Danio rerio: one gene and its partner. The protein of the gene in region 2 binds, or shares a complex with, the protein of the main gene of each other region. Links are inferred from orthologs where the notes say so. Each region holds a gene or a part of one and is shown on either strand. Other genes may lie near its edges.

The links.
Region 1: vti1b (region 2) and bet1l share a complex: the UniProt entries of both Homo sapiens proteins name them as parts of the SNARE complex. The link is inferred for Danio rerio from reciprocal best matches to the Homo sapiens genes VTI1B and BET1L.

What each region holds. Positions count from the first base shown.
Region 1 is NC_133200.1:8,366,993-8,373,223, forward strand, and holds the end of bet1l (BET1-like protein), read right to left. Parts: intron 5,172-6,231; exon of another isoform or gene 5,052-5,171; intron 5,012-5,051; exon of another isoform or gene 4,774-5,011; coding exon of another isoform or gene 4,752-4,773; intron 4,521-4,751; coding exon of another isoform or gene 4,501-4,520; coding exon 4,435-4,500; intron 3,202-4,434; coding exon 3,145-3,201; intron 2,536-3,144; coding exon 2,368-2,535; 3' UTR 1,988-2,367; downstream 1-1,987. UniProt on the Homo sapiens protein: Vesicle SNARE required for targeting and fusion of retrograde transport vesicles with the Golgi complex. Required for the integrity of the Golgi complex.
Region 2 is NC_133188.1:36,483,215-36,488,983, forward strand, and holds part of vti1b (vesicle transport through interaction with t-SNAREs homolog 1B), read right to left. Parts: intron 4,370-5,769; coding exon 4,178-4,369; exon of another isoform or gene 2,349-4,177; intron 2,271-2,348; exon of another isoform or gene 1,232-2,270; intron 1-1,231. UniProt on the Homo sapiens protein: V-SNARE that mediates vesicle transport pathways through interactions with t-SNAREs on the target membrane. These interactions are proposed to mediate aspects of the specificity of vesicle trafficking and to promote fusion of the lipid bilayers.

The DNA of each region.
Region 1 (6,231 bases), on a different chromosome or scaffold from region 2:
TAAAAATATATAGTGCAAATAGGGGCTGCACGATCACTTCACAGCAAGAAGGTTGCTGGTTTGAGCCTCGGCTGGGTCAGTTGGCATTTCTGTGTGGAGTTTGCATGTTCTCCCCGTGTTGGTGTGGGTTTCCTCCGGGTGCTCTGGTTTCCACCAGTCTAAAGACATGCGCTATAGGTGAACCAAGCTAAATTGTCCGTAGTGCATGTGTGTGAATGAGTTTGTATGTGTGTTTCCCAGTGATGGGTTGCAGGTGGCAGGGCATCCACTGCGTAAAACATATGCTGGATAAGTTGACAGTTCATTCCACTGTGGCGACCCCTGATTATTAAAGGGATTAAGCTGAAAAGAAAATGAATGAATAGTGCGAATGTGAGGTACAACAAAATCTAATTTAATTTTATAAATCTATATGCTACTTAATGCATTTTTCATTTTTTATGGACCAAATATTGTCTCAGATTTTACAACAGACAAGTTAAGACTAATTGTAGGCCCCCGACCAGCCTGAACACCCGCCGGTGACCTGCACACATCTGCAGCTTCTCCACGATGGACGTCCAGCGATCTGCAGCAGCTAGACTCCAGCTCTGCACAAGAAGTTTGGCCAAAGAAGTAATGGTCATACTCAACTGAGCCTGGTTTCTCTCAAGGTTTTTTCCCCTTCACTTTCGTCAATTGGTGAAGTTTGGTGCTCGCCGCTGTCTTGCTTGGTTTGGGACTTGTGTAGCAGCAAACATCGATGGATTTGCTCTTCAGTGTTTGAACTTTCAGCAGTGAAAATTAAACCACACTGAACTGAGCTAAACTGACTGGACTGACAGTTTCAATTAACTTGAACTTCTATGTTAAGCGGTTTTGACACAATCCACATTGTAAAAGTGCTATAGAAATAATCAATTCAATTAATGTTTATTTATATAGCGCTTTTACAATGTAGATTGTGTCAAAACAGCTTTACATTTAAGCTCTAGTAAAGTCCAGTTTTCAGAGTTGAAGTTTAGTTCAGTTCAGTGTGGTTTACATTTCACTGCTGAAGGTTCAAACACTGAAGCGCAAATCCATCGATGCGCAGCTCCACAAGTCCCAAACCAAGCCAGCCAGTGGCGACAGTGGCAAGAGGGGAAAAAATGAATAAATAAAATTCAACAGACGAAGTGAAGGCGACGCAGTGGCGCAGTAGGTAGTGCTGTCGCCTCACAGCAAGAGGGTTGCTGGTTTGAGCCTCGGCTAGGTCAGTTGGCGTTTCTGTGTGGAGTTTGCATGTTCTCCCTGCATTTGAGTGGGTTTCCTCCGGGTGCTTCGGTTTCCCCCACAGTCCAAAGACATGCGGTACAGGTGAATTGGGTAGGCTAAAATTATCCGTAGTGTATGAGTGTGAATGAGTGTGTGTGTGGATGTTTCCCAGGGATGGGTTGTGGCTGGAAGGGCATCCACTGCGTAAAAACATGCTGGATGAGTTCAATTTGCTGTGGCGACCCCGGATTAATAAAGGGACCAAGCCGACAAGGAAATGAATGAATAAATGAATAATGAAGTGAAGGGAAAAAAAACCTCAAGAGAAACCAGGCTCTGTTAGGCATGACCATTTTTCATCTGCCCGAACTTCTTGTGTGGAGCTGCAATTTAGGCTACGGAGGCTGGAGAACGTTGGACGTCCATCGTGGAGAAGCTGCAGGTGTGAGTAGGTCACGGGGGGTGATCAGGCTGGCCCACAGGATTGGTGCGGGGACTTGTGTGCCATTGTGGTCTTTCAGGAATCAGTCTCATGCACTCCCCTCCTCTATGACCACCACAGCATCAGCTCAACACAAACATAAACATAAAATGAATTGATGAACTTATTATTTTCCAATTAAAATATACAGATTAATGTAAATAAACATCATTGATGCTCTTGACAATCAAACAATTTGAAAGAGTTTAAATGTATGCCGTTTATCGAGGCTGGATGGAAAAACACACACAGAAAGAATCATGACATGAAGCATTCGCAATAACATTTTTAATGTACATAATTATCAAAAATTAGTTGCATTTTCTTACATATTTTACAGTGATAAAAATAGAGCTCATGGAAATCAGAAAAGTAAGCTTTTAATCAATCTAATATTGGTCCATGTGGGTTTCTTTGATTGAAGTATGAATAAAAATACACACTGAATAAACTTAATTTTGAACATGTAAACAAAGAGCTTGGAGTTACATGTGATCAACCATTCTCAAACTGCATCTGTTTTCACTTAATAATGATGAAAAAGCATAACCTGTGCGCTTCTCTGAAATCCCCAAATAACAGAGACAATCCCCATAAACTCTCATAGAACTGAGAAACCAGCTTAAAACATGAGCAACCAAAACCACCCATCAGTTCTGCATCCGGGACACCAGATAATAAAGCAGGAAGAAGGCCACAACCAGACCCACGGACACGTAACACAGGATCTTTCTGTTGTCTCGACCCGATCGGACCATTGTGGAAAACCTCTTCACGCTTCCAGTCAACAAACCAGTTGTGCTGAGAAAGTTGGAGTCCTGAGTAAACAAGGATGTAAAAGCACATGATGACGAGTTACAGCCTTCTGCCAACACTGCAAATACAGCATTAACACACTCATGCATACCGTGGCCAAGAGAGATTAACACACTGCAATTTAAGAAAACACATGCAATTACAAAAAACACCAGCAAATTAAGCAAAGATTTTCCACAGGTTGCAAATACTCACAATGCAACCAAATTAAGAATGCAAGCTGCATTTTCTCACAACACAGGCAAATAGCATTGCACACAACAGAAATATTTCAAGGGGAGACTAAAACGTGATGGACTTAGATATTTAGGTTATGGTTATTGAAGCTAATAATATACAAAAGACAAATGGATTGGTGGAATCAGGATGTTAAAATAAACAAAGATCACTTTACTGAGCAATAGTCAAGGCACAATAAGCAAATCCCAGACAGGTCTGTCATGCTTTTGAGTCAACTTAAAACATTTCTGTTGTGTCCAGTGCAGAATGCAGTGTGTTTTCTTTATTTGTTTGCGTTGTGAGGATTTGCTTTCAAACCGATGAAGATTTTTACTTAATTTGCAGGTGCAATTTTTGTAATTGGATATCAGCCACCGTGAATTTACACTTACCATCCCATCCAAATAGGCATTCTGTTCTTCCGCATCTTTGTCAATGTCGTATGCTAGCTGCGAAGGAGAAAACAAAATATAAATGATTTTATTTTAAATAAAATTATATATTTAGATTTTATTAAATGTGTTTATTTAGATCTCCATTAGGCACTTTTTAATGTATTGACTATTCTTCCTGGGGTCCAACAAATAAAATAAAAAAACTTACATCAAATCATCATCAAAACCAATACAAAAAAAAAAACAAAAAACTAATTTATATTAAGATAAAACAACAGAATAAAATACCAAAAAAAAAAAAATACAAATTTACACTAAACCAGAATTATATAAATATAACAAAGCATACAATGTAATTTTTTTTAAAACATCAAAAGTATCAATTAACTAAATATATAAATTAATTATAATAAGACATTATATTAGTCAATGGGTGATTATGATGGAACAGTTCTTGAAAAAAAATCATTTATTTTCAACATTTAATGTGCACTCTCAAAAGGTTTCAACAAAAAACTTTTGTTATAAGAGACAATAAAAACAACAGACAGACAGACAGACAGACTAAATACTTTATGGCAAGAAAATAAATATTTACTACCTCATGACCATTTAAATATGCCAAAATTTTCTTTATAATATTATACATAGAAGTTTTTATGAGAAGCAGATCTAAGAAAACATTTAGATTTTTTGCCTATGCCACCTCTTTCAGAAAAGGAGAAAACCTCAGCCTTGTTCATACCATACACACAAGACACTTTTTTCCACTTGCTGGAATTGAAAAGAAATGCTGAGGGAAATATTTATGTAAAACTGAATCTTTTTAGACTGATGTTTTTAGCTAAATGTTTAGTTTAATAAGAAGTGAAATTGAGGTGAAGTTGGTCTTATATTTGCACATTTGCTCATTTTTGAACAATGACAACTTGTCCCCATGTGGTTTACCATGTTACATTGAAAACTCTGGAGTCTGAAATCGCATGCAAGTATGACTTTAAAACAACATTAGCACTATTTAATTGACTGTGAACAATGTTATACTTTGATAGTTATTGGCTGATAATATGACTTCCACATTTAAAATGTATAAGGGATACTGAAATTATATTATTAAGGAGAATATCTGAATCTCTGAGTATTAAACCAACTTTATTTATACTTGATTTCTGGGAAATTTTAAAACACCATTGAGATTTTCAAAATGCTTTTCAGTGTAGCTCATTATACTCAAAATAATAATAATAATAATAGATTTTAGCAGATCTTGGACTAGTTCTGACTTACAGACTTTAGTCTCGAGACTTTACTGGCCAGATTTTCCGCCATCCGCTTGTTTTCAGCATCCAGCATGTCATCCACAGCTCCATGTCCTGAAAATTACATTATTATTCAATAATTTTGGGCTGTTACAACATTCTCACCTGAACACCTTCATATTTAAGTAAATTTGTTCAGGCAAAATCAACAACCGAAGCTACTGTTAGACAATAAAAGCTTTATAATATTTTAATATCATGTATAATATCATGTAACTTAGCTATAGTACTGCTTAAAAAGTGTAAGAACTGCATATTAAAAGAGAACTGCTACGTGTCACTTACCTCGATTCCATGGATCAGCCATTTTTAAAGAGCTAATCGGCTAACAACCTTCTAAAAATACTCCAAAAGACGCCAAACACCGACGAAAACTATTCTTATTATCCGTAAAAGACGTATAAATGTAATTCGCACACATATAATGTTAATAAAACTGTTGGCAAAAGTAAACAGAGCGCATTTATCCCGAAGAGAACCGCCAAACAGCAGCAGTGTACAGTGAAGCGCAGCTGTCGCGAGGGGATTGTGGGATATGTTTATCCGCCGGTCATTCATTTTTCTATCATAAGGACTCTGTCTGATTGCATAAGCTTCCTAGACTGCCATCTGCTTGCGTTTGGGTTTTAAATGTTTTGTTCGGTTAGTATTATTTTACTAAACGACATCGATATGAAATAAACAGCGCCTGACACTGTTGTGCTGGTAAGCATCTTTATCTTATAAAAAACCTTGATAATCCTGTCATCATGATGGCGATCGTAAAACACAATAATAAAGGATGCATATTGAAATTAAGATTTTTGGATGTCTTAATGCGCTACAATGCATTCAATTAAATGAAGAAAATGTTCTAATATAATGCAAAATAATAATTGAAGGGGATTGAAAAATATTAATCGTTTTAATGCTGATGTTTTAACAGGAATTAGGAGATTGGATGACATTAAGAGCGGTCTATCAGCTACTGTCATCTGAATTCTCATACCGAAAAAAATTGCTTTGAAATATGTAAAATAATCGATGAGCTTACGCGCTTCTTTGATGATGTACAACCAAATTATGATAAAACGTTATAATATATGTATATATTTGAAATAATACATGTATATATTTTATGTTTGAGTGAAACTAAACTATTCAAAATAGCATTGTCGCTCGTGATTAGACAGTTTCATGCCAGTTTTTCCCTTAATAAACGATTACCATTTATTTAATTAAATAATTATATTTTAAATTAGTTAAATATAAAAACTAAAAGAAATATAAATGTAATTGTTTAAAATTATGAATATGCTTTGATATCTGTGCAACTAACAAAAGACAATTTATGAGTTATCTGTTTATGCATAAAATAAACAAAAAAAATAATTAAAATTAAGCTTTAACTATTATATTACGAGTTACATCAAAAATTCTTCGATTTTTATTTATTATAACCTAATAATATAATTTATTAATGTAACCTTTATTATAATGTTATTATAACCTTATTCATTATGTAATTTATAAATGTAACCTTTTGCATTATTATTAGGCAAAACGTTACCTTTAGGTAAAAGATTTTAAAATTATGCAATTCAATGCATATATACTGTAAACCTAATTTATTATTATTATTTTTTTAGCAGTATAAGTAAAACAAAACACTAAATTTAATGATGAATTAATGATAAAATGTAATGTCAAACTGCTTTGTATATTGTTTACATTGTAAAAAGGGCTAAAGAATTAAAGATAAACTAAATTAACTGAAATGTACTTC
Region 2 (5,769 bases):
AGGTAGGTTGGTCGGTCGGTCGGTCGGGAGGTAGGTAGGTAGGGAGAGAGGGAGGGAGGTAGGTGGGTGGGTGGGTGGGTGGTTGATTGTTTGGATGGATGGATGGATGGATAGACAGATGGATGGATAGATGGATGGGCAGATAGACGCAGACAGACAGACAGACAGACAGACAGGCAGGCTGGCAGGCTGGCTGGCATGCAGACAGGCAGGCAGGCAGGCAGGCAGGCAGACAGACAGACAGACAGACAGACAGACAGACAGACAGACAGACAGACAGACAGACAGACAGACAGACAGACAGACAGACAGACAGACAGACAGACAGACAGACAGACAGACAGACAGACAGACAGACAGACAGATAGATAGATAGATAGATAGATAGATAGATAGATAGATAGATAGATAGATAGATAGATAGATAGATAGATAGCATAAGCACATGCTGAGTGAAAGGTAACTATTGCCCACTTTTACCATTTTGATTGTAATTTAAAAAAAAAACAAAAACTGTGATGACCTCTCGAAAGAAACAATTGCTGACCTCACTTCCTCAGTTTCATTGAGATCAGAAACAGGTCTCTTGGGACACACAGCATGACCTTGCTTAAGGCCAACTTCTGCATCCGCAACAGAAAAATAAATCACTCCACTGCAGTGTAACAGGCATCTGTGTTTGTATAGATGCAGGGAATTAAACTTTCATCACATACCAGTTTACATACATGTGTGTGGGTGTGGGTACATATGCGTTGAAAAACTGGAAGGATCTGTTTATGATTACAGGTAGCTCATAAAATAAAAACTGTCTAACTACTTGAAAACAACCCCAGGTATTAAAGTGATAATTCACCCCAAAATAAAAAACTCTTTATTTACTCCCCCTGAAGTGGTTCCAAAACTTTATGAGTTTGTTTATTCTGTTGAACACTAAAGAAGTTATTTAGAAGCAAGCTAAAACACGTAACCATTGATTTAACAGAAGAAAATAAGAAGCAGAAATCAAACAGGTCTGGAGCAAGTAAAGGGTGAGTAAAGGAAGACAGATTTTTTAAATTTGTGTGCAAAACTGCATGGATCAATTTATTGAAAATAATGTCTGTTACTGAAATATGCAGTTGAAAACCCATGAAAGATTTGCTATTTGAAAAAAAAAAAACATTAATTTTGGCCTAGGGGGACCTCTGAGTGCGTAATGGTTGATTTTTATTTATTTTTTTATTTTTTTGCAACACAGCTGAAAAAGGTACTGGTACAATGCCACATTGTGCAGCTTTTAATTTTCACAAAAAGAGCAGCGAGAGAATTATTTAGGTCTTCACTGCGAAAGATGAGAAAAGAACAGGACAATACCTTTGCACAAATAAAACTTAGTGCCTTTGCACTTTCCACTTCATCCCTGATGTCTTTGAGGCTTTCAGTAGACAACGGCTAGAGGAAGAGCTTAAAGATGGCGATGGATACAAGCATAGTCTTAAAGAGATACTTGACGAATCAGTAAGTGTACAGTTTAACATCTAGCGTTTCTTCTCCCTGTATTTTCTTAGTATTGATTTCAAACATCTTTTTGAACATTCAAACTTCTTTTGGGAATGATGAACAGCAGAAAAGCCTTAATTCACTTCTTTTGGTATTCTTCAATTGAAAAGCACAACCAAAAGCCTTGCAAAGTGATCACTTTGTCTTTATCTCTGCCTGTCTGTCTGTCTGCCCATTCATCTGCACATCCGTCTGACCATCCATCCATTTATCTATCTGTCTGTCTAGATTTTATTTTCCAAGTTGTGTTGTGGTAAAAACAGCAACATGCACAGCAGCTCACTACCTGATCTCATACAAAGCACACTCTTACCCTTCATGTTATACAGGTGCTGGTCTACATTCAGAATATCTTCAAAAAGTTGATTTCAGTAATTCCACTCAAGAAGTAAAAGTTGTATATTGTATACATTCATTCCACACAGACTGATATATTTCAAGCAATTCTTTTAATTTAATGACAACTTATGAAAACCCTAAATTCAGTATCTCAGAAAATTTGAATATGGTGAAAAGGTTCAGTATTGAAGACACCTGGTGCCACATTCTAATCAGCTAATTAACTCAAAACACCTGCAAAGACCTTTAAATGGTCTCTCCGTTTAGTTTTGTAGGCTACACAATCATGTGGAAGACGGCTGATTACACAGTTTGCCAAAAAATGACCACTATCACCTTGCACAAGGCACAAAAGGTCATTGCATAAGAGGCTGGCTGTTCACAGAGCTCTGGGTCCAGGCACATTACCAGAGAGGTAAAGGGAAAAAAAGATGTGGTAGAAGATTACAAGCATTAGGGATAACTACATCCTGGAGAGTTGAGTAACAAAACTCATTCAAAAATGTGGAGGAGATTCACAAAGAGTGGACTGCAGCTGGAGTCAGTGCTTCAAGAACCACTACGCACAGACGTGTGCAAGACATGGGTGTCAGCTGTCACATTCCTTGTTTCTTTTGAGCAACAGACAGCATCAGAAGTGTCTCGTCTGAGCTAAAGTCTGGACTGCTGCTGAGTGATTTTCCAACAGGACTTGGCACCTGCACACAGTGCCAAAGCAACCAGCACTGCTTTAAGCACCTGTTCTTAATTGGACAGCAAACTCACCCTACCTTAATCCCATAGAAAACCAATAGGTAGGGCCAGACAGAATCTGCAGACATTTTTTTGCTATTTCTGCAGAGAATTTTGGTAAAAAATCTGCGGATTTCTGCTGGATTATTTTGGGAGTATAATGACTAAAACCTTAATATGTGATTATAATAATACCTTTTTAACTTTTATTTAATTTTTAAAATGCAAATCCAATCAGATTCACTTTATTTGGTAAACAAGGTAAGTCTTTCATATAATATATCTACTAAAAGATAGAAAATATTACATTACAAACTGCACTGTACGTAAATCAGATGAACATTTTCATATTAGTCAACAATATTACTGTAATTAATTTAAAAACTGAATAAACTTAGATTTACTCAAGTAAATAAACAGATTTAATGACGGGCTAAAAATCTGCTGAATTCTGCACGCGCAGATACCATATGGGACTACCAATGGGGTATTGTAAAAAGGAAGATGCAATGTGCCAAACCAAACTATGCAGAAGATCTGAGGGCCACTATCAGAGCAACCTGGGCTCTCATAACACTTGAGCAGTGCCACAGACTTATCAACTCCATGCCACGCCGTAATGCTGCAGTAATATAAAAGTTTTGCTTCTTGAATGGAATTAGTGAAATAAATCAACTTTTTGAAGATAATCTAATTACATGACCAGCACTTGGATTAAGTCATATAAATCCTAATACCCTGAGCTTCTTTTTCATCTTTTTTTTGTCAATCATTTATGAATAACCAGGCAACCAAAAACAATGATCAGCATCAAGTTTTGAGAACTGCACACTATATGCGCTCAGCTTTCAAGCCCTGAGGGGTTTGTCCTGTTGCCATATTATTAACAAACTTAGGTAACAAGTAGTTAAATTCATTGAACTTTTTCAAATCAGCACTACATGTAGCCGGAGGTGAGTGGTGTACTGAGAATCACGTAACACCTCTGGAATGCCAGCAAGGTGTGTCATTAAACAGTACACAGAAGAGATAGAGATCTGTAGTACTCAAAACATACTCATTGTTATGGAACTTCCTGTAGGAATACACATGAGGGGTACAGTGGAGCGGTTCTAGCCAGTTCTAGCCTGAAGAAAATCTAGATCCAGCTGGAAAGATGTAGAAATTCTCCATAATTACTGTTCAAGTGATGTGCACATCATCAATGAGGAGTAAAGCTTTCATTTAACAATACCTTTCTAAACACAACAACACATTCCTGTCTAAACCTAAATAAGGATGGTTTAATAAATTTATCATCAGTAACACTGATTTTTATCATAAAATGAATAGTTCTCTGTTCTCAATAACACACATTTCAACCATGATCTCAGCTGATGTCTGGGGTAATTCATCAAAGAAAGCAGAAATTCTGTCTTAATCTGCATAACCTCAGTGACCTTTCTCTTTCCATGAAACATGGTTTCACAGAAAACATAAATATAACTATTGGACCAGTTCAAAACACATGAGAGTGAGAAAAACCTGAACGGCCTCTTTTAAGAGAGTGATGAGATATACTTACACTCTGGTCATTCTGTGAGGCATAAACACCAAGTCTGCTGTCCCCGAGCTGACCTGTAAGCCCTGGTGTTGCTGATAGCCGAATATCTCTCTGCAGTTTGGCTAGATCTCGTCGGTACAGTCGAATCTTTGTTGACATGGGGGTTCGGAAGGATGATGGAGCACCAAACAGCTCCTGCTCCATACCCTGAAGCTGAGAGAGGTTTTACATGTTTAATGATAAACTCAGAGAAGGCGGCAGACAGTCACTGTTTCTGTTCCTGTGTTTTTACACATAATATCATGCAAAAGTTTGGCGACTTCTCAAAATATTTTTTAAAGAATTGTCATATGCTCATCAAGGCTGCATTCATTTAATCAACAATCCTCTAAAAAAAGTAATACTGTGAAATATGCTTAAACTTTTTCCTCTGCTGTTGTCTTAGAACTTTGTATACACCGGCGTGCACTGTTGTATAACCTTTAAAATAAAGCTGTGAAAATAATTTTAATCCTCATATCTGTTGTGCATTAAGAAACAATCTCATCTTCATCACAAACTCTGTAAACATTTATCAATGTTTAATCAGGACAACTCATTCTTGGCTAAAGTAAAGGGCATATTTTCTATATCTAAAGTACCTGCATAAGTGTAAAATGTTTTAGAATTAAAATGTTTTGGCATTATAGTTGGCCATCTATATAAAATTTACCCAAAAGACAACTGTTGTACCCTAAATGTGTACAGCCTTTATAACAATATGAAAATGATGAATTTTTTCAAATGTTGGGGAAATTTTAGAAGCAATCAAACTTTAAGATAAAGAAATTGTTTATTTCTTTTTTGCTGTTAAAACGGTGTCTGGGTGCCCGGGTCATTTTGACCCATGAGTCAACAGGAGGGTTAAAATTATTGTTTTCTATTTTCTAATATTTTAAAACATAATTTACTTATGTTCTGCTCAAACTGCATTTACTACATGATTTCTTCACGATGCCATGTGAAATTATCAGACAGAATTTACAAATCATTCCAATATGTGATTTGAGCAGATTAACATAACATAAAAACATATTTATATAAACAGAAAAAAAAACTTTATTTTAAACAAAAAATCCCTTGTAACATTTATGGATGTGTGAAATGCAAAGAACAAACATTTATATTGTGTCAACTTACTCATTTATTCAGAAAACACATTAACATGCTGATTTGCTCAGATTATTTATTATATATACATACATACAAACATTTATATATATATATATATATATATATATATATATATATATATATATATATATATATATATATATATATATACACAGAATGTTTTTTATCCTTTGCAGCACTATATCTGTTATTACAGATAATTTTGATCAATTTAAAACATTCTTGTTGTATAAAAGTTTTATTTTAGCGTTAATAATTTAAGTAAAGCTAATGCTATACATTATATAACACAGTACAGCTAGGCCTACTACAGTATCTCAGCACTTTGTGTCCTAACAAGGGCAATTTTGTGAAGCAATACTGCCACCTGCTGTCGTAAACTGTCCAAACACAACCACTTGCAATATAGATCATCAAAACTTTCAGAAGAATCAATATTG